Xenopus tropicalis: one gene and its partners. The protein of the gene in region 5 purifies or fractionates together with the protein of the main gene of each other region. This does not show direct contact. Links are inferred from orthologs where the notes say so. Each region holds a gene or a part of one and is shown on either strand. Other genes may lie near its edges.

Region 1 (4,253 bases), on a different chromosome or scaffold from region 5:
CACTGAATTATTGCTAAACTCATGCTCAGCAGTTCCTCATTATAAAAAGAAACATTGCAATTCACTTTATTTCCTACAGTGTAATCCAGGGGTCCCCAAACTTTTTTTAACCTGTGAGCAACATTTAAATATAAAAAAAAATGTAGGGAGCAACACAAGCATGAACAAAGTTCCTAGGCAGTGACCAATAAAGGCTGTGATTGGTTATTAGATGGCCCACTGTGGACTGGCAGACTACAGGAGGCTCTATTTGGCAGTACACATGGACTTTAGGTCTCCAAAACTTGACTCCAAAAAAAAATAAGCACCTGCTTTGAGGCCACTCAGAGCAACATCCAAGGGGTTGGGGAGCAACATGTTGCTCATGAGCCGCTGGCTGGGGATCACTGGTGTAACCCATACATGCCTATATTTAAAGCAAGAGGCTTATGAAGTATGCTTAGTATTGGGGTGCACACATTTTAGCATGATCCATAAAGCAAGGTTTTCAAAAGCAAGATTTAGGGAATTTGCAGTATCTGTTTTAATACAAATATCCTGCTTCCAACCAGAAACCAAACCAAACTATTAGGCTGAAACAACCAACAGCCAGGAGACAGTTAACTGCTAAACTATTTCAAAAACCACCAATAAAACCTGTAATAAAATCCTCACAATGAAATATTTCTGTTCACCTGAATCCTCTCTGGAGGGTCACCTGGAGACTATCTCTTGCTCAGGATCAATGAAACTGAGCTAAAACTGGAAAACCTGTAAACCCCCCACTTTTTTTCAAATGTGTTCCAAAGGTCATGTGATAAGTACCCATGGTGCTTTTCTTCAGTCATACCCATGATGCCTTTGTTCAGCCATTCCAATCAACTAATTAAAGTGATGAGTGGAAATTGTGTTATTTCTAAAAAAAAAAACTTTGTTATAATGTCAGCCTTTATCTAAGGTTGGCATTAGATAAATTTAAAATAAGTAGTAATGATAGCATTAGTTTTCCTAAAGGATCAGTAACAAAACATTGTTTTTGGCACCAAGTGGTATGATAGTTTCTTGATTCACTGTCTGCACATATAAAAGCAAATTCCGGCACAAAAGCATGTTTAGAGTACATTTTTCACAGCAACAATAGTATATAAGACAGGCGTCCCAGCAACAAACGCCATACCTGAAATCCATAATAAAATCAGAAAATTCATACTATTATATAAATAAATGACACCATACAATCACTTTAATAATGCAGAATAGCAACGGTGCCTTTCTGCATAGTGAAAGAATACTAGCATACTAATAAAGCTTGGAAACATATAGTTGCCCACACTAAAGATGGCCGTCGCACACACGCAGCGAACGTCACGCGTAGGAGCGCTTTCTGATGTCGTAGGAATCGTGCGCCTCGGATGTTTGGTGCATGCTGAGTTGAAAGCAGTGCTGTGCCGATATATTGTAGGCCGAGTAGTCACATTTATTGTATGTAGTGACGTTACGGTAGGGAGAGTGAGAGAAAGGCTGTAACTGCAAATTGACTTTTCTGCAGGAATAAAATACCCGCAATTTATGTTATTCAGGTGAAAAAATGGAAGGCCAGAAGGACGCACCTCCTCCTAAGCAGCAGCCGATGATATACATTTGTGGAGGTAAGGTTTTTCTCTCAAAGCAGTCAGTTTTACTCGGGGGTGCCTTTAGAGGAAGTTATTGGATTCAAAAGACATCAGGGACCTACAACTTCGGCTCCTGGTCACCTGCAATCCCAGCATCCCACCCTGAGTTTTGCCAAAAGTGCCTAATATCCTAAAGAGAAGTTATATGCCCAAAAAACCCTCCAGTGAATATATATATTCTAAACTAGTTGAACCTGTGCCATTTTAATTAGTTTCCCATAAGTCCCTTGCACTGAGCATATGCATTACTTTTGGTTCTGTACATCTGTTTCCTGTGTTTGGGACTAGTCACTAGGAACTATTGGGATACTGCAGAAAGATGGAGGCATGGGAGCTCCTGTATTCACTAGGGAGCTGAATTGGATAAATGTGGGCTTTTAAATGCCATTGTTGGTCATGAATTAAAGGGAGCCAATTATTGATGAAAAAAATGATTTCAAGAGGCCCTGCAGTTTCCAGCATTCTCAGGAGAGCTGAATGATACTGGTGATTGCAGTGCTAGTTTAGATCATGTTGAGAATGTTAATTGGCTAGTGTCTGCAAATGTCGGGATAATATTAAGAGAAGAGAGTGCAACTACGAATCAATAGCGAGCTACCACTAGATTGAAACATTGGATACAGGCACCCAGACAAGACCCCCTCACAATACCCAGAATATAAACATCTTATTTTTGTGTTGTTCCATTTGAACTCACAACAGTCCTTGCAGACATTGTCTTTTTACAAGACTTGTATATTTATCTTAGTCTTTATCAACATTGATTTTCTTTAGATTTTAAACTGCATGTTATTTTCTCTCATCTTTATTTAGAATGTCACACGGAAAATGAAATAAAAGCGAGAGATCCAATCAGGTGCAGAGAATGTGGTTACAGAATAATGTACAAGAAAAGAACAAAACGATGTATCCTTTTTTTCTGGTTACCTGCACATTTACTCCAGACTGAATGCGTGTAGGAACGGAGAATGGCCTGTAAAATAGGCTTGTATTAAACTTATTTCCATTAAAGGGGTTGTTCAATTTTATGATATTCTGAGACAGTTTGCAATTGGTCTTTGTATTATATGTGTGTGTTTTTAATTATTAAGCTATTTGTCTCCAGATTGGAAATTCAGCAGATATCAGGTTGCTAGGGTCCAAATTACCCTAGCAGCCATGCAGTGGTGTAAATGAGAAATACTAATACAAATAGGAGAGGCCTAAATAGAAGGATGTAAAAAAAATAGCAATACAAATAAAATTGTAACCTCAATAGTTGTTTGGATTCCCACAGTGGCCCCAAATCAAATTAAAAGCTAAAAAAAAATAAAAATAAGAAATGTTGACCAATTGAATAGTTTAGCAACTGAATTGCTAATTCTAAAACATACTGAAACATAATTGAAGGTGAACTTCCCCTTTGAAAAACATTAATTGTTTTTGTTACCATTTCCACTAAACTGTGCAGAAAGTGTAATTAAAGAACTTTCTTTTTGCAACTATTTTTTCAAAACAATTATGGAAGAAGGAAAAAGCATTTGATCAAATAATGCATTTTATTAAAAGAATAAGCAAAATAAAATCTAAGCAAAACGTTTGACCCCAATGTGTGTCTCTGCTCTGTTAGCTATGGTGCTTTCCATTTCGTAATATGAGGAGAGTTAAGGTTGTTGAAACCGCCACTAACGTTCAGGGCTGAAACGGCAGATAAGGAGGTAGAAACAATATGATTTCTGCCGACTCAGCCCTGATGGCAGATTTTGCTCAGACGCCTTCTATGGCGCCCGATCAAAATCTTTTAACCTGGCCGATCGGCGAGTCGACCGATATCAGCAGCCTCCTGTGATATCGGTCGACTCGGCGACTTGCCAAACACGCATCAAATATCGTATGAAACAAGGTTTTGTACGATATTATCGGTGCGTGTATGGCCAGCTTTATGGTGGACAGGGGTGTTTTTTCCTCCAGTGTTTTTTTGGAGTATGGCAGCAGTAGAACAAATAGTTGATGTGCCATAAGCATTATTCAGTCACGAGAGGAAGATTAAGGGAGAGCTGGAAACAAATTTAAAGCCAAAAAGTACTTTGTAAAGGGGAACTTCACACCATACATAACAATCCACTAAATTGTAAAATGGATTTATTTAACATCTACTGCAAATTTATTTATGGTACATGAGTGCTACACTTTATTTTCCATTATCTGATTCAATATTTCCTTAATTCTTTCAATTTCAGTGGTTGTGTTTGATGCTCGCTGACCTGGATAAAATTCAGTTACATGTGTCTGACATCTGCTCTACATATATATATGATTAAGTTACATATATATCAGATTTTGTTAATTAATGATAGTGTTCCTTGTTCTTGTGTAAAGCAAGGTATTACATGTTTTGTAATAAAGATTTTTAGAATTTTGTTTTTGTAAACATAACTCGTTGTCATCAGCGTAATTCTTTCTCAGTAATGAAAACTGCTGCATATCACCACCTCTCTGGTCTTATAATGAAGTTGCAGTCCAACAGGTCCCTTTTAGCTGCTGCAAATCCTGTCAGTATGGCTGTATTTTGCTGTGCCTACAACCTAATTGGTTTCCTGCACCTACCATATTACTGTAAAT
Region 2 (4,016 bases), on a different chromosome or scaffold from region 5:
CAAGCAACTAGGCAACAGATTAGAAGACAGAATAGATCAATAATAGTGGACCTAAAAAATTAATAAATTATAAAAATCATAATACAATGAATCTGTTGATCTGTTTTGAGATGCTTGGGGTCAAAAGCGCCATAAAGGCCAAATGATTTTTTGACTGGAAAGATGAAAAATATTGAATGCTAAATATAAAACAAATACACAAAAAATAAGTCTAATTAAAAGGTTACTTAATAGAGGTCCAGCTATAATTTACTAAATGTTAATAACACGAGGAACATCTGAACATCCCAAATAGCATTGGTGATTGGCTCAACGCACTGTAGACTGCAGCTGAGCATGCTAATGATCCAGTAAGAATACAGAGTATGTACTGACATTTACATGTGGGAATGTGGGAGTGAAGTTAACAGTTGCAGACGTGACACACGCAGCAGGTGCTAACACAGTATCACAGTAATACAGTAGCACAGAAACACAGTACGAGAGTAGCACAGTTTAACACAGACAGTAGTACAGTAACACAGTAGCACAGTAACACAGACAGTAGTACAGTATCACAGTATCACAGTAACACAGTAGCACAGTAGCACAGTAGCACAGTATCACAGTAGCACAGAAACACAGTAGCACAGTAGCACAGTATCATCACAGTAGCACAGTATCACAGTAACACAGTATCACAGTATCACAGTAACACAGTATCACAGTAACACAGTAACACAGTAACACAGTAGCACAGTAGCACAGTAGCACAGTAGCACAGTAACACAGTAACACAGTAGCACAGTAGCACAGTAACACAGTAACACAGTATCACAGTATCACAGTAACACAGTAACACAGTAACACAGTATCATCACAGTATCACAGTAACACAGTAACACAGTATCACAGTATCACAGTAACACAGTAACACAGTAACACAGTATCACAGTAACACAGTAGCACAGTAACACAGTAGCACAGTAACACAGTATCACAGTAACACAGTAACACAGTAACACAGTAACACAGTATCACAGTATCACAGTATCACAGTAACACAGTAAAACAGTATCACAGTAACACAGTAACACAGTAACACAGTATCACAGTAACACAGTAAAACAGTATCACAGTAACACAGTAGCAGAGTCAGGCTGATGAAAGCTTTCCTCCTTGGAAACGTACAGTCCCCACGTGCATTTGCTTCCTAGTTACGAGATTTCCCAGGTCTCATGCTCGCGAGAGTTTGAGGTGAATTTCCTTCCGTGCCTGAGTGGCTCATGCGAGTGGGACTCTCAGAGTCGGGGCCCGAGAAGGTGGGACCACGGTCGGTTCCCGAGTTCCGGGGCAAAGGGGTTTGCGACGGACGGAAAGCATGGAAGAGATAAGGGAGGGTACGAAACTGCTGAGCTCCAGTGATGTGGCCAGACTTCAGGAAGAGCATGGAAAGGTAAACAGAGGACGAGTGCCATGTTACACATGTGAATGTGGCAGAGCATAAGCCAGCCAGGGCAGAGCGCTTATGCACTAGGGTACAAGTGCGCCCAGCGGGCTTAGGGCAGCCTGTACCATGGTTAATATAGACAGTATGGGCTTGTTCCCCAGCAAAGAGAAGAGCACACAGTTGGAATAAACCACTTAGCAGCACATCACTCATTTGCTTTTTATCACTGTAACTTTTAGACTAGTCGGAGCCCATTGTTTTGTACAAAATGGACTATATTTGGGCATTATGACACAGGGCCATTATGACACAGGGCTGAGCATTGGCCATCAGGAAGGTAGCACAGGAAACTGAGAAGCAAAACAAATAAAGGAGGATGTATGTTATTGAGCAGGATGTACAGCTACTGAAAGTTATATAAGTTCCACTTGCACCAGAATATGCAGCTTAGTATTACCATTGGCGCTGCCATAAAATCTGAAAATGTTAAGGTGTAAATGCTTAATCCCATAGGGAACACAGTACTCTGTCATGTCTGTGCACATTTGACAGGTACCCTGTTTATAAGTTAGGGTCAGGCAGTGAGACGCTTCCAGCATCTTTTTAACAGGAGGGCTACAGTATGCACAGCCATGATCTAACTCAGCCGGTTGACTTTGCTAAGCATAATGTACCACTGTGACCTTTGAGTTGACTCAAATTCAGTGTTGTGCTCCATAAGAAATAAAAGTTACATTGGGCATAAAATTGACAACAATTCAGTAAATAAAGCTTGTTATCTTATAAAATTGCAGTTGTCTTAAAAGTGGCAGGACTTGCACCTTTTTTGAGCAGTAATGCTGTGCCAGCTATTAATGCAAACACCAGAGTACCTCTTGTAGCAGGAACAGTCTAAATGTCATAGGCAGTGCTATTGGTATGGCATGAGGCATGTAAATACCTTCTGTTCTCAGAAGGCCTCACACTTCATGTCTTGCAATGTAAAGGACAATTTGGCTCCTTTTACCTCTTCTCATCCTAACCAGGTCAGTTCCTCTGCTTAGCAGTTCACTTACTAGTATTACTGGAATCGTAGTTGAGAGCAAAGAGGCAATAATATAGTTATCTTGGACTCTACAGTGTTCATTGAAGCTGTGTAAGGGTGAAGACACATGGAGCTACTTAGTAGCAGCTACTTGTAATGGCTACTAAACTCCAGAAAATACCATACCATAGATAATACTGAGAATTGCCTCTTCTAACACACACGTAGAGACAATTATCAGTAAATGATCAGCACTGTCTATTTTTGTAGCTGCTACTAATAGCTCCTTGTATCTTCACCCGTATTGTTATCCCTTTAATAATCCATGCTGAAAGCTTGTACCTGAATCCTTTGCCTACAATTAGAAAACTGAAGAGCTAGCCTAGGAAGGATGTGAGCATAGTGTTCCTAATGGAAGGAGTGAGCAAGTTTTGCATATTTTTAACATATTGTAAATTTGGTGGGCTGTAAGCACAATGACTGAGCATATTTTGTACTGGTGCACATGCAGTGCAGCAAGACAAAAGGGTTAATTTGCAAAGAATTATAAGCTTATATAATGCTGAATATGACATTCTTCCAAGCTTCTGATTAGAAGCTAAGAGCTTTAAATCTCTAAGTACAAAGTATAGACTGAGGTATTTTAAGAAGGAGTTTTGGATGATTCCGATTCTCAAGTCTTCTTACCCTCTGGTAACACAAGAACACAGGCTGGGGTTTATTTACTGACATAGGGCAAGTGTGCATTGGTTCAGTAAAACGTTGCTGTTGATCAGTTCGCTCATTGAATCAGTTTACTGGATGTAGAATACCAAAGCCCTTATTTGGGTTCCTATGGGCTAACATATTGGTATAACTAGTAATTTTTGCTTGTATTGCATCATCTGTAGAGTTAGGGCTAATAATCCTATTACGATATTACAAAGCAGAATTAGAAATTTTCTGATTTCTCACTGTGTATCACACTGTGCACTGTTGCACAGACTTTTTTTGTTTTTAGTGCATTTGTCACTGTATGTGTATCGAATAAGTCATTTATGTAGTTATGACAAATGTCAAATGGCACATATATGTTTTTGCCTTTAAAATTTATGCCCACTTTTTCTGTACATGCATTTGTCTTCTGGTACAGTATTATGTGTCCCATTGCCCATCAATATAGTTATCTAATTTTGCCCTAAAAGCATGGACCCACAGGAGTGGAGACAAATGCATAATCTAGAAAGAAATCCAGAATACATGTAAAAAGTAATTTGTAGTGAGCCTTAAAGGAGGACTAAAGGAATATTGTCATGTTTTTTTTTTTTCTCCCAAAAAACACATCCATTAATAGAGCTTCTCCAGCAGAATCCTGCACAGAAATCCACATTTGTGCTGCACAGAAATGTAGGTCATAGTAGCTGATTAATAACCATTTCTCAATGCAGAACACATTGGTTTCTATAGTGACATTTATTGTGAATATAATTAATTACAAATATGCTTTATATTAACAAACTAGAATTCACAATATACTGTGCATTGTGAATCAGTCCCTAAGCAAAAGGTGACTGACAGCAGCCC
Region 3 (4,013 bases), on a different chromosome or scaffold from region 5:
TTCCCAGACCCACCACTTCTGGCATTCAGGCAGCCCCCAAACCTAAAACAACTAATAACAAGAAGTGCCTTAATTCAACCCAACAAAAAAGGAACTTATCCCTGTGGCAAAAAAACAATGCAAAACCTGCCCACACATCTGTAATTCAGATTTCAGACACATTAGAGGAATACAACATCCATGGTCAGTACAACTGTTCTTCTTCCAATATGGTGTACTTAATACAGTGCACTAGATACTGAACAGGAGGACTGTATATAGGAGAGACTGGTCAAAGCCTGAGAAAAAGAAATACACACCACCGTTTTACTATAAGAACGCGATTTCTGATGGTGGCCCTGGTTCTATCAATTAGATGCTCTGCTGTACAGTGCTTCGTACATAAGTACTGTAATGCTTATACCATGTGGGGTTGATTCTCAGCACATGAAAAACCACAGGCCAAGAATCAGTTCCTTGGGCATCAGCCTCCTACTTTTCCAGGTCAAACCACTGCGTTGGCCCAGGTGCAAGCATACAATATGAATATCCACTCTAAAATGCTAAATTTACAGTTTCTTTGCTGATATCTGCCATGTGTGCCTGCACCCAGGCCAGCCCAATAGTTTCTGGTGCAGGCAAGGTAGGAGGCTGTCAGCGGAGGGACTGATTATCTGCATGCGGGTTTCCATGCGGCATCAGCCGTATATAAATAAGAATATAAATAGTTTATATAAACAAGCTTCTATGCAGCCATGGAGGAAGCACTTCAAGATAAAAAAAGGAGAAAGGCACAGGATACACAGCAGATACCAGATTAACACGAATATACCACCACTGCATTTTATTACAGAGCATATATGTTATATGATATCCAAACCTGTGCCTTTTCTCCTTTTCAACTTAAATGGCTGCAAGACTTCTAGTTCTGCTTTTGCTTTGCAAAAATTGCTCTTCTCGTGTTATCAGTTTTTGGGAGCTGGACTTAAATGTAGAAATTTAGAATTTCGAGTTAAGTTTTTCAACGCAATTTCCACTACCCACCTTTAGTTCACACCGTTTCATTCAAGTTACAAATGGAACTGTCGCAGATTTCTAGGGCGCCCATTAAAGACGTCATCACCGGGCGGAAACGTGCGCAATAAGATGTAATGTAGGTGAATGCGAGGCTAGGGCAAACGCGTGGTGATCATTCTGCTTAGGCAGCGGTACTGGCGTCTGGAGGATGAAGTGGTTGATGCGAAGTTTGAGCTAATCTGTTAGCAGCAATGTTGCTATTTTGCCCGACGTGTGGGAATGTGCTGATCGTGGAGGAGGGACAGAAGTGCTACAGGTTTGCCTGTAATACCTGCCCTTATGTGCACAACGTTAATCGCAAGGTATAATGAGGTCTTCTGAAGTGATAGAAATATGGTTTTAAGCGGCGTAAGTGTAGTCCTGGTGGCTACGAAGCCTTTTTATGCCTTGTGTATGCCAAGCATTGCTAATTGGCAGATAACATTACATTAGCAACAGTACAATGCGCTGATTTTTAAGTGCGGGATGAATCTGTATAAATTGCTAACAACATATTCTGGTAATGGCTGGGGCTTTTAGCTCTAAATTGTGTAAGTTTAATAGACTTACAAAGTTAAAAAGGTGATCTTATCATTTATGTTTTATGATAAATACTAAATAAAATGCATAGTAAATAGATACACCTGCTACCCCCACCCCCCAAAATGAACATTTGAATATACGCATATGACCTGTGATTTTTTTTTTTGTCTGATTTTTGCTAGTTTGTGGCCAAGGTCTTGCTTTTCTTCCTTTTTGGCTATTACCCTTCTGGGAACAAATCATCATAGAAGGGCACACTTTTAACCCTAAATTCACAATACCCAGAACACCACAGCACAATCACTTCCCCTGTGGAAGTGCATTACCTTGCTAAAGCACACTAATATCATAAATATATATTATAAAATGTGTCCTAACACTTTCATAAATAATATCTAAATAAATACATTTGAATATATATTAATACATAGGGAGTTCTGACCGCTAGATACTTATTTGACAAACTTTAAGGGGAAATACTGTAACCCTATCTTCACCACTTCTGGCACCTTTGACAGTGTTACACTCCACGAGTGGCGCTTACCTGATGGCACGGGACAAACCTGAATCACTCCGCAGTGGTATTGGGAGAGACTGGGTACCTGGTACTTATTAGCGCAGTGCCTCCACCTAGTGGGATCCTGGAGTGCACCTACGGGTGGCCCCACTAGGAACAATAATAATGCACACACAGTACTTGATAAACGAAATAACTTTTATCTGAAATAAAGGGGAAACTAATACAGATAACACTCCTATCCAAGTGGCAATAAGGGCCTTACTAACTAGCTTTGCCAGCGCAAGCTGTCTCACTAACTATGTACAGTCCTTTAGCTCAGTCCCAAAAGAAACAGTTTATATAGTTTAAATCTTCAAGCGCTCCTTTATTACTTTCACTTTAATGATACTCACTCCAGGAATCTCTTTGGGTGATTCACACAGAATCTTCAGGCGAGTCCAGCACTCACAGCCATGCAGTGCGACTACTAGCCCCTTTAGCTACTCAGATGGGATTCCCCTGCAGGTGTTTGTTCCTCCAGTCAGGACTCCTCACAGGATCTCTGTCTCTCCAGGTACAGGGTCTGCCTTCCCTGTACCAGCCTGTTCCAAAGGCCAGCTTCTTCTTGTGCTGCTCCTCTCTCTGAGCCCACGTGCAGCTTCTGGAGTTCTGGGGCTTTTTCTCTCCTCCCACTGACTTCCTCTCCCAGGCTGCTTTGCAACTTCCGGCAGCCCTGAGCTTGCTGTTCACCTTGTTGCTAGGCAGCAGCTCACAGCACAAAGTCTCAGTGCCAGCTCCCCTACAGGGAACAGCAGCAGGAGGGGGGTAAGTGCAGGGACCCAGCACTACCTCCCTACATTCTCCCCCTGCTTGAATGGGCAACGTCCTCGCTTGCCCTTTCTCACCATTCTTATTCTCCCTAACCTTTGGGGGAGATACACAGGGGAAAGCTTCCTCACTAACTGCCCTGACACTTCCCCTGCCTGAAGGTCTACGCATTCCCAGGCCCAGTCTCTTACTTTTATTGGGGGTGCCAGAGTGCTCAGAGACCATCCTCGTGCCACAGGATTTCTCTTCACAAATATTCACTTCACATGGGAAAGATGTCACATATACATCAGTGAAGTCTTCATTCCGTCCCCAGTCACAGGTGTGGGAAGTATGACCGTACCAACCACAGGTGTAACACCTCACCTGATTACGTCTCTTCCGATACCTCTTTTGGGGTGGCTTCCTCACAGCACAGCCATATGAAATAACTTCTGTAGCTGCAGCATTTTCACGTTGCGTCGGACAGTGTGGGGATATATGGCCCAACCGGCCACAACGGAAGCACTTTGGTGGGTCACCGCGAGCACCACCTGCTTTAGGAAATGAAGAGGGTCTAGACATAGTTGACCCCTCTTCCTTTTCGGACACACGAGCCTTGAGCTGAGCAACCTGTTTTTTTAACTCGGCAATCTCTTCCGCTTTCTGCGAATCACTGGATGTCCTTTCAGAACCACGTCTTTTCTTCTCTCGTCGCAGAACATTAACTTCCTCCTTTCGGATCTCACGGATCAGCTCCTGATAAGTTGGTTCTTTCTTTCCTCTGTAGAAAGATCTCAACATCACAGCTGTGGGGTCCATAGATAAAGCCCCTCTGAATAACTGTTGTAGCCTCATAGAATCAACACGATCTGTAGCAATGATTCTTCGGCAAACAAGTAATTTTAGCATTTGCTGCAGTCGCTTCAAGTACTCAGACAGATTCTCTTTTTCTTTCTGCATGCAAGACTGAAATTTGTACAACATTTCAATTTCATCTTCCACCGGTCCATATGTATCTTCCAGTACGTCTATCAACTTCTCAGGACCATCTTGTGGGCACACCTCTCGTTGGAGCTTAATTAGGTCCAATGCAGGCCCTCGCAAACTCTCCTGGATCTTGCGACAT
Region 4 (3,947 bases), on a different chromosome or scaffold from region 5:
AAATGGTACGGTCCGACCCCCCCCGCTCTTAAAAATGGTACAGTCCGAACCCCCCCGCTCTTAAAAATGGTACGGTCCGACCCCCCCGCTCTTAAAAATGGTACGGTCCACCCCCCCCCACTCAAAAATGGTACAGTCCGAACCACCCCCGCTCTTAAAAATGGTACGGTCCATCCCCCTCACTCAAAAAATGGTACGGTCCGAACCCCCCCCCGCTCTTAAAAATGGTACGGTCATCCCCCCCCACTCAAAAAATGGTACGGTCCGAACCCCCCCCCGCTCTTAAAAATGGTACGGTCCATCCCCCCCCCACTCAAAAATGGTACGGTCCATCCCCCCCCCCACTCAAAAAATGGTACGGTCCGACCCCCCCCCCCCCGCTTTTAAAAATGGTACGGTCCACCCCCCCCCTCAAAAAATGGTACGGTCCGACCCCCCCGCTCTTAAAAATGGTACAGTCCGAACCCCCCCCCCCGCTCTTAAAAATGGTACGGTCCGACCCCCCCGCTCTTAAAAATGGTACGGTCCATCCCCCCCCCCACTCAAAAAATGGTACAGTCCGAACCCCCCCGCTCTTAAACATGGTACGGTCCGACCCCCCCCGCTCTTAAAAATGGTACGGTCCATCACCCCCCCGCTCTTAAAAATGGTACGGTCCGACCCCCCTCCCACTCAAAAAATGGTACAGTCCGAACCCCCCCCCCCACTCTTAAAAATGGTACGGTCCGACCCCCCACTCTTAAAAATGGTACGTTCATCCCCCCACTCGAAAAAAATGGTACGGACCGAAACCCCCCCCGCTCTTAAAAATGGTACGGTCCATCCCCCCCACTCAAAAAATGGTACGGTCCGACTCCCCCCCCCACCCAAAATAAAATGGTACGGTCCTATCCCCCCATAAAAATTGGTGCGGTCCGACCCCCGCTCTTAAAAATGGTACGGTCCGACTGGTACGTCCATCCCCCCCCACTCGAAAAAAATTGGTACGGTCCCCTCCCCCTCTAAAAATGGTATGGCCCGACTCCCCGCTCTAAAAAATGGTACGGTCCGACCCCCCCGCTCTTGAAAATGGTACGGTCCGTCCCCATCCCCTCTAAAAAATGGTACGGTCCTACCCCTCCAAAATAAAATGGTACGGTCCGACCTCCCCCGCTCTTAAAATTGGTATGGTCCGACCCCCCCTCCAAAAATGTCACGGTCCATCCCTCCCTCTCAAAAAAATGGTACGTCCAACCCCGCCCCCCTCCAAAAAATGGTACAGTCCGACCCCCATTCCAAAAAATTTTGGTTGGACCGTACCATTTTTTTGGAGGGGGGTCAGCCCGCACCATTTTATTTGAAGGGGGGGGTCGGACCGTACCATTTTTTTGGGGGGGAGATCGGACCGTACCATTTTTTTGGAGAGGGTGTCGGACCGTACCACTTTTTTCCGACGGGGGATCAGGCCGTACCATGCTATTTTTTTGAAGGGGGGATCAGACCGTACCATTTTTTGGAGGGGGGTTGGACCGTACCATTTGTTTCGAGGGGGGGGTTGGACCGTACCATTTTTTGGAGGGGGCGGACCGTACCATTTGATTTGAGGGGGGGTCAGACCGTACCATTTGATTTGATGGGTCGGCCGTACCATTTTTTTTGAGATGTTTCACCTCACTGTGTTAAGGCGCTATGACCCTATAAAAATTAGGTATGCCCAAATTGCAGCCCTCCAGCTTTTGTTCATCAACATAGCTTTCCCTTTAAAATTATATACTTTTTTTAGTGAAGCTCAGGTGTATTCTTACAACATTCTCATTAAAATAATTGATAGCAATGAATTACACCTGCTGGGGTTTGCACCAATTACAGCACACTAAGATGCCTACTTATTATGCTGTGCAAAAATGGCAGCAAAATTCGTCATTCATTGCGAGGCTTCGCTGTGTAAAAAACAATGTAATTACGTAGCTTGCATAGAATAATGGCATAAAGTCTGGCTTTCAGATGGTGACATTTGCCATTTTACTCAGCACACTAAATAGGCCCCCAGGTACAGCTGCTATAATCACCTGAAAGTCATCAGCTGACATTGAATGTTCTAGTTGAACAAAACTAGAAGGGCCACAGGCAACACTGTAAATGTAAAAACTAAGAATGTATATAAGAATATACATTTTTAATGATTGTTATTTGTACTTCTACAAAGGACATGATGAGGACTAGAAGCTCTCTATGTCCTGCCCTAAAGCATTCCCTGTCATGCCCCAACCACACCCAGCTAAGAGCACTAAGAGTTGCAGCTTCCAGCAGCTGAAGGACCCCAAGTTGAACAATAAAATATTAAAAGGCATTTATTTTCATAGGCCCACTTTAGGCAAACAAGCTTAACTCATTATTAAATAATACATTCAAAAACATTTCAACATTCAGCTTCAGTAGAAGTCAATAAATGCAAGCCCCAATATGCCAATCTGTGCCAATGCTGCTAAATATCATTGATCCAACTGTAACTGATTTTATAATGGCCTAAAATGTGCTTATATCTGTGCTTTAACACATCTTACATTTGGGTGTTTTCATAGATTAATAGAATTATAGACATGATATTAAATTCATATACTTAAGCGAATCATTTTACCTTCAGTCTGATATAATTTCTCGCTGATGAATCAAACATAGAACTCGGCTGATTCACCAAATCTGCGTTACAATGACATTCACAAGTAAATCCTGGTGCAGTAGGGATAAGCCAGTGGGGGCAGTGCTTGTCAGCAAGTCCTAACGAGCATCAGGCAGTGTAACTGATTCTAAACTAATTAGGTTCTGCTCAGCAGTAAAACTATATAGGGTAGAGCTTCCCTTTGTTAGTGTTCAGGCTTACTAAACACAACATGAAGCACAGCCCTTTCAGTGGAAAGGCGCTGTACATTGATCATTATGTGTTCTTAAAGGGGAACACAAAACTAATGTACTGGCAACTATCAGCAGTTAGCTCTAATCATGCATTACACAGCCACCATCAGTGAGGTGCAACTGCTGGAGCCCAGAAAATAAATATTATACAATATGTCTGTTCAGAGAAGATAAATTTGGCATTTGTCTAAATATCAAATGTTTTTCTTTTTATGCCACACTGTTTTTATTTTCTTTTAAAAAGTTGGAGTAAATTACTTTTTGCCAGTTTAACTACTAATCTTTCTAAATTTGACATAGTTGTCTTCGTCAAAATGCTGTCAAAGGGCATGTTCAGCTTTTGCAAAGTAGTGTAAATAGTAGCCTCTGGGAAGAGTCTGTGATATATTGAATATAGTAGGTAGGGAAGGGACTGTGGCTGTGGGATAGCAGGTATAGTAGGGGGAGATGGTACCTATAGTAGCAGTGGGGGGATAATAGCCTCTGGGAAGGGACTGTGGCTGTGGGATAGCAGGTATAGTAGGGGGAGATGGTACCTATAGTAGCAGTGGGGGGATAATAGCCTCTGGGAAGGGATTGTGGCGGTGGGATAGCAGGTATAGTAGGGAGAGATGGTGCCTATAGTAGCAGTGGGGGATAATAGCCTCTGGGAAGGGACTGTGGCTGTGGGATAGCAGGTATAGTAGGGAGAGATGGTGCCTATAGTAGCAGTGGGGGGATAATAGCCTCTGGGAAGGGACTGTGGCTGTGGGATAGCAGGTATAGTAGGGAGAGATGGTGCCTATAGTAGCAGTGGGGGATAATACCCTTTGGGAAGGGACTGTGGCTGTGGGATAGCAGGTATAGTAGGGAGAGATGGTGCCTATAGTAGCAGTGGGGGGATAATAGCCTCTGGGAAGGGACTGTGGCTGTGGGATAGCAGGTATAGTAGGGAGAGATGGTGCCTATAGTAGCAGGGGGATAATAGCCTCTGGGAAGGGACTGTGGCTGTGGGATAGCAGGTATAGTAGGGAGAGATGGTGCCTATAGTAGCAGTGGGGGGATAATAGCCTCTG
Region 5 (3,500 bases):
GCAAAACAAGCCATGGAATTAGCAATCCAAGAATTCAAAGAAATGAAAGTATTGATTCAGGTACCCCAAAAAGAAAAATTCAGGGGGGTCTACTCCCCAATCTTCCTTGTACCAAAACCAAACGGGAAATACAGAACCATCATAGATCTAAGATATTTAAATCAATTTATATTCAAGAAGAAGTTCAAAATGGAATCAATAAGATCCACCCTGTTAGCGCTTCGCGAAGGGGATGTGATGTGTACTATAGATCTAAAAGACGCCTACCTTCATATTCCCATAAGGGAATGTCACCATAAATTCTTAAGAGTAGCCATAAGGGGACCTGCAGGAACAGAACACCTTCAATTCGCAGCCCTGCCGTTTGGAATATCGAGTGCACCAAGAGTCTTTACAAAGGTAATAATAGTAGTCGCAGCGTACTTAAGAACTCAAGGTATTGCTATTATTCCTTATCTGGACGATTGTCTACTAAAAGCAGAAACCGATTTAGGGTTACAAAGGAACCTATTCAAAGCAATAGAGGTTTTCCAGTCATTGGGCTGGTTAATAAATTGGGAAAAATCCAATCTAAATCCTACAAAAGAGATAAAGTTTTTGGGAATGATCTGGAACACAGAAGAAGGAAGAATTTTCCTTCCTCCAGGAAAAAGGGAAAAAATCAGAGACAGAGTGCGCAAGTTTCAAAACAAAAAATTTTCTTCAATAAAGCAGGGTTTAGAAATTTTGGGTCTTTTTTCAGCAGTATTAGAAGCAGTTCCATGGGGTCGTGCCCATATGAAGGACCTGCAAAAATATATGAACTCAGTTTGGGATCATCAGAAGGCATCACTCAGAAAGAAACTCTATGTTCCACCGGAAATAAAGAAATCTCTTACTTGGTGGTTACACCCAGGGAACCTTTCAAAAGGTTCATCCCTATTTCCTATTCCTCCCTTAGTCATCACAACAGACGCAAGTGGCAAAGGTTGGGGAGCACATTTAGGAAACCTGGTAGAGCAAGGTATCTGGGAAAAAGGTATTGGTCATCAGGCAGCAAACTCCTTAGAGTTGGAAGCAGTATGGAGAGCTCTGCTTGCTTTCAAAACTATTGTAAAAGACCAAAATGTTCTAATACATACAGACAATGTGGCAACAGCCTACTATATAAATCACCAAGGAGGTTCCAGAAGCAAAGATCTGGGAATGAGAATAAAAAAGATCATGGGCTGGGGAGAAAAAAATCTAAAAAGTATTCTAGCCCGCCATATCTCTGGGCACAGCAATATCAGAGCAGACTTTTTAAGTCGCAGGTTGATACTCCCCGGGGAGTGGAGTCTAGATCCAGAAACATTTCTTCAGATTTGCAAGGTCTGGGGTTCTCCAGAAATAGACCTCATGGCCTCAAAGTACAATGCAAAGCATCAAAGATATTTTTCCCTTACAGCAGGCCAAGGCGAGGAAGCAGTGGATGCTCTAGCCCAATCATGGGATTTCAGCCTAGCATATGTCTTTCCGCCTATCCCTATGTTAGCAAGAGTGATCAAGAAAATTGCACTTTGCTCAACAGAAGTGATTCTAATAGCTCCTGCCTGGCCCAGAAGGAGTTGGTACTCCAGTCTCCTCCAACTTTCTGTCAGTCCTCCTTGGCTCCTTCCAGTGAAGGAAAATCTCCTACACCAGGGACCAATTTTGCATCCAAACCCTGCAGCTCTTCAGCTCACAGCATGGAGACTGAAAGGGATGTTATGAAAGCACAAGGGATATCTTCACCAGTCATTGAAGTTCTGTTACAGAGCAGGAAAGAAATTACAAATAAAATTTATCAAAGAATTTGGTCTTGTTTCAGGAAGTGGTGCTCAAATAAGAAACTAACTCCAGAAGATGTTCCAGTGTCAATCATATTAGATTTTCTACATGATGGATTTAAGAAGAAATTAGCTCCAAATACACTTAAGGTACACATTGCGGCCTTATCAGCTTTCAAGAACATATCCTTGGCGGAGCATCCATTGATCAAAAGATTTGTCAGGGCTGTTCAAAATATTAGACCTAAGACAAATAACCTAACTCCAAATTGGGACTTAGACATTGTGTTAAGAGCCTTACAAAATGTTCCTTTTGAACCCTTGGAAGAAGTTTCCCTGTATCATCTGTCCATTAAAACAGTATTTTTAGTGGCAGTTTGTTCAGCCAGACGCGTAGGAGAACTGCAAGCTTTATCATGTAAAAATTCGTGTCTACAAGTTTTTCCAGACAGGATCATTCTCAAAGCAGATCCTTGGTTCAGACCTAAAGTCTCATCTAATTTTCATAGAAACTTTGAAGTCATTCTTCCAGCTTTTTTTGCAGAACCAAGAAATAAAGTGGAGGAAAAGCTACACTTACTGGATGCCAAAAGATGTGTTTTGTTCTATTTAAACAAGGTAAAACCTTTTCGTATATCTCATAACCTTTTCGTTTCCTTTTGGGGAAAGAACAAGGGGAAGCGTGCCTCAAAAACTTCCATTTCCAGATGGATAAAACAGGCAATTTCCTTAGCCTATTCTGCTTCAGGAAAATCAATACCTCCAAACCTCAAGGCACATTCTACCAGAGCAGTGTCAGCCTCACAGGCAGAAGTTGGAGGTGTGTCAGTGGACCAGATATGTAGAACAGCTTCGTGGGCAAGTTTCAGAACATTTGCAGAGCATTACCGACTGAACGTAGGTACCCCTGGGGAAGTGGCGTTCGCAAATACGGTACTTTATTCAAATTGTAAAAAAAAAACCCCTTGACGTACTGCTACTCAACTCTCTCTAGTAAGTGCTGCCAAGGGACGTGAGGGAAATAACGGATTTATACTTGCGTAAATTCCTTTTCCCTCAGTCCCGAAGGCAGCACAATATCCCTCCCTTACAGTAAATATTCTATCAGCATTGTGTATGTGTCTTATTGCTTGAGAAAATCACTGAGGGCTAGAGGGAAGCAGAGGGACTTATAGGAGATGAGGGGGTGGAGTAATTAATTGGGGGGTGTGGTGTTTTCCTACCAGGTGGAAGTCATCTCTCTAGTAAGTGCTGCCTTCGGGACTGAGGGAAAAGGAATTTAAGTAAGTATAAATCCGTTATTTAGCCTTGATTTTTTGTTGAGCTTTAGTTTCCCTTTAAGAAAGAACCCTTGCTAATGGTTGTTTGTCCTTGTGTCTAGGTGCCATTTCTGCAAGTCGTCTTGTCATGTCTCCTCCTTGAGGATCCCCTACGCCTGCAAGTTGCTCTTCCAAGAGCTCCAGTCAATGAATATTATCCCCAGACTCAAACTGGCCAAGTATAATGAATAAACTGACTAGAGATGCACCAAATCCAGGATTCAGCTTGGGATTTGGCCAAGATGCAGCCTTTTCCAGCATGATTTGGATCCAGCCGAACCACTCCGAATCCTTAAAATCACTTGACTTTTTGTAACATAAACACAGTTCTCTTTAACCCCTCCGTAGCCTAATTTGCACATACAAATTAGGATTCGGATTCAGTTCAGTATTT

What was found. The genes of interacting proteins can lie anywhere in the genome.
Region 1: the proteins of polr3b (region 5) and polr2k purify together in Homo sapiens (affinity purification with mass spectrometry; 3 studies listed by BioGRID and IntAct, with this or other methods). This does not show direct contact. The link is inferred for Xenopus tropicalis from reciprocal best matches to the Homo sapiens genes POLR3B and POLR2K.
Region 2: the proteins of polr3b (region 5) and uri1 purify together in Homo sapiens (affinity purification with mass spectrometry; 4 studies listed by BioGRID and IntAct, with this or other methods). This does not show direct contact. The link is inferred for Xenopus tropicalis from reciprocal best matches to the Homo sapiens genes POLR3B and URI1.
Region 3: the proteins of polr3b (region 5) and polr3k purify together in Homo sapiens (affinity purification with mass spectrometry; 6 studies listed by BioGRID and IntAct, with this or other methods). This does not show direct contact. The link is inferred for Xenopus tropicalis from reciprocal best matches to the Homo sapiens genes POLR3B and POLR3K.
Region 4: the proteins of polr3b (region 5) and polr3g fractionate together in Homo sapiens (co-fractionation; 4 studies listed by BioGRID and IntAct, with this or other methods). This does not show direct contact. The link is inferred for Xenopus tropicalis from reciprocal best matches to the Homo sapiens genes POLR3B and POLR3G.

What each region holds. Positions count from the first base shown.
Region 1 is NC_030682.2:128,131,348-128,135,600, forward strand, and holds polr2k (DNA-directed RNA polymerases I, II, and III subunit RPABC4), read left to right. Parts: upstream 1-1,453; 5' UTR 1,454-1,567; coding exon 1,568-1,628; intron 1,629-2,465; coding exon 2,466-2,558; intron 2,559-3,871; coding exon 3,872-3,894; 3' UTR 3,895-4,065; downstream 4,066-4,253. UniProt on the Homo sapiens protein: DNA-dependent RNA polymerase catalyzes the transcription of DNA into RNA using the four ribonucleoside triphosphates as substrates.
Region 2 is NC_030680.2:71,279,342-71,283,357, reverse strand, and holds the start of uri1 (unconventional prefoldin RPB5 interactor 1), read left to right. Parts: upstream 1-1,216; 5' UTR 1,217-1,360; coding exon 1,361-1,435; intron 1,436-4,016. UniProt on the Homo sapiens protein: Involved in gene transcription regulation. Acts as a transcriptional repressor in concert with the corepressor UXT to regulate androgen receptor (AR) transcription.
Region 3 is NC_030685.2:40,341,187-40,345,199, forward strand, and holds the start of polr3k (DNA-directed RNA polymerase III subunit RPC10), read left to right. Parts: upstream 1-1,213; 5' UTR 1,214-1,247; coding exon 1,248-1,358; intron 1,359-4,013. Other genes in the region: snrnp25 (U11/U12 small nuclear ribonucleoprotein 25 kDa protein), read right to left, coding at 1,024-1,044. UniProt on the Homo sapiens protein: Core component of RNA polymerase III (Pol III) which synthesizes small non-coding RNAs using the four ribonucleoside triphosphates as substrates. Can mediate Pol I proofreading of the nascent RNA transcript.
Region 4 is NC_030677.2:178,954,538-178,958,484, forward strand, and holds the start of polr3g (DNA-directed RNA polymerase III subunit RPC7), read right to left. Parts: upstream 2,801-3,947; 5' UTR 2,618-2,800; intron 1-2,617. UniProt on the Homo sapiens protein: DNA-dependent RNA polymerase catalyzes the transcription of DNA into RNA using the four ribonucleoside triphosphates as substrates.
Region 5 is NC_030679.2:15,932,589-15,936,088, reverse strand, and holds part of polr3b (DNA-directed RNA polymerase III subunit RPC2), read left to right. Parts: intron 1-3,168; coding exon 3,169-3,298; 3' UTR 3,299-3,500. UniProt on the Homo sapiens protein: Catalytic core component of RNA polymerase III (Pol III), a DNA-dependent RNA polymerase which synthesizes small non-coding RNAs using the four ribonucleoside triphosphates as substrates.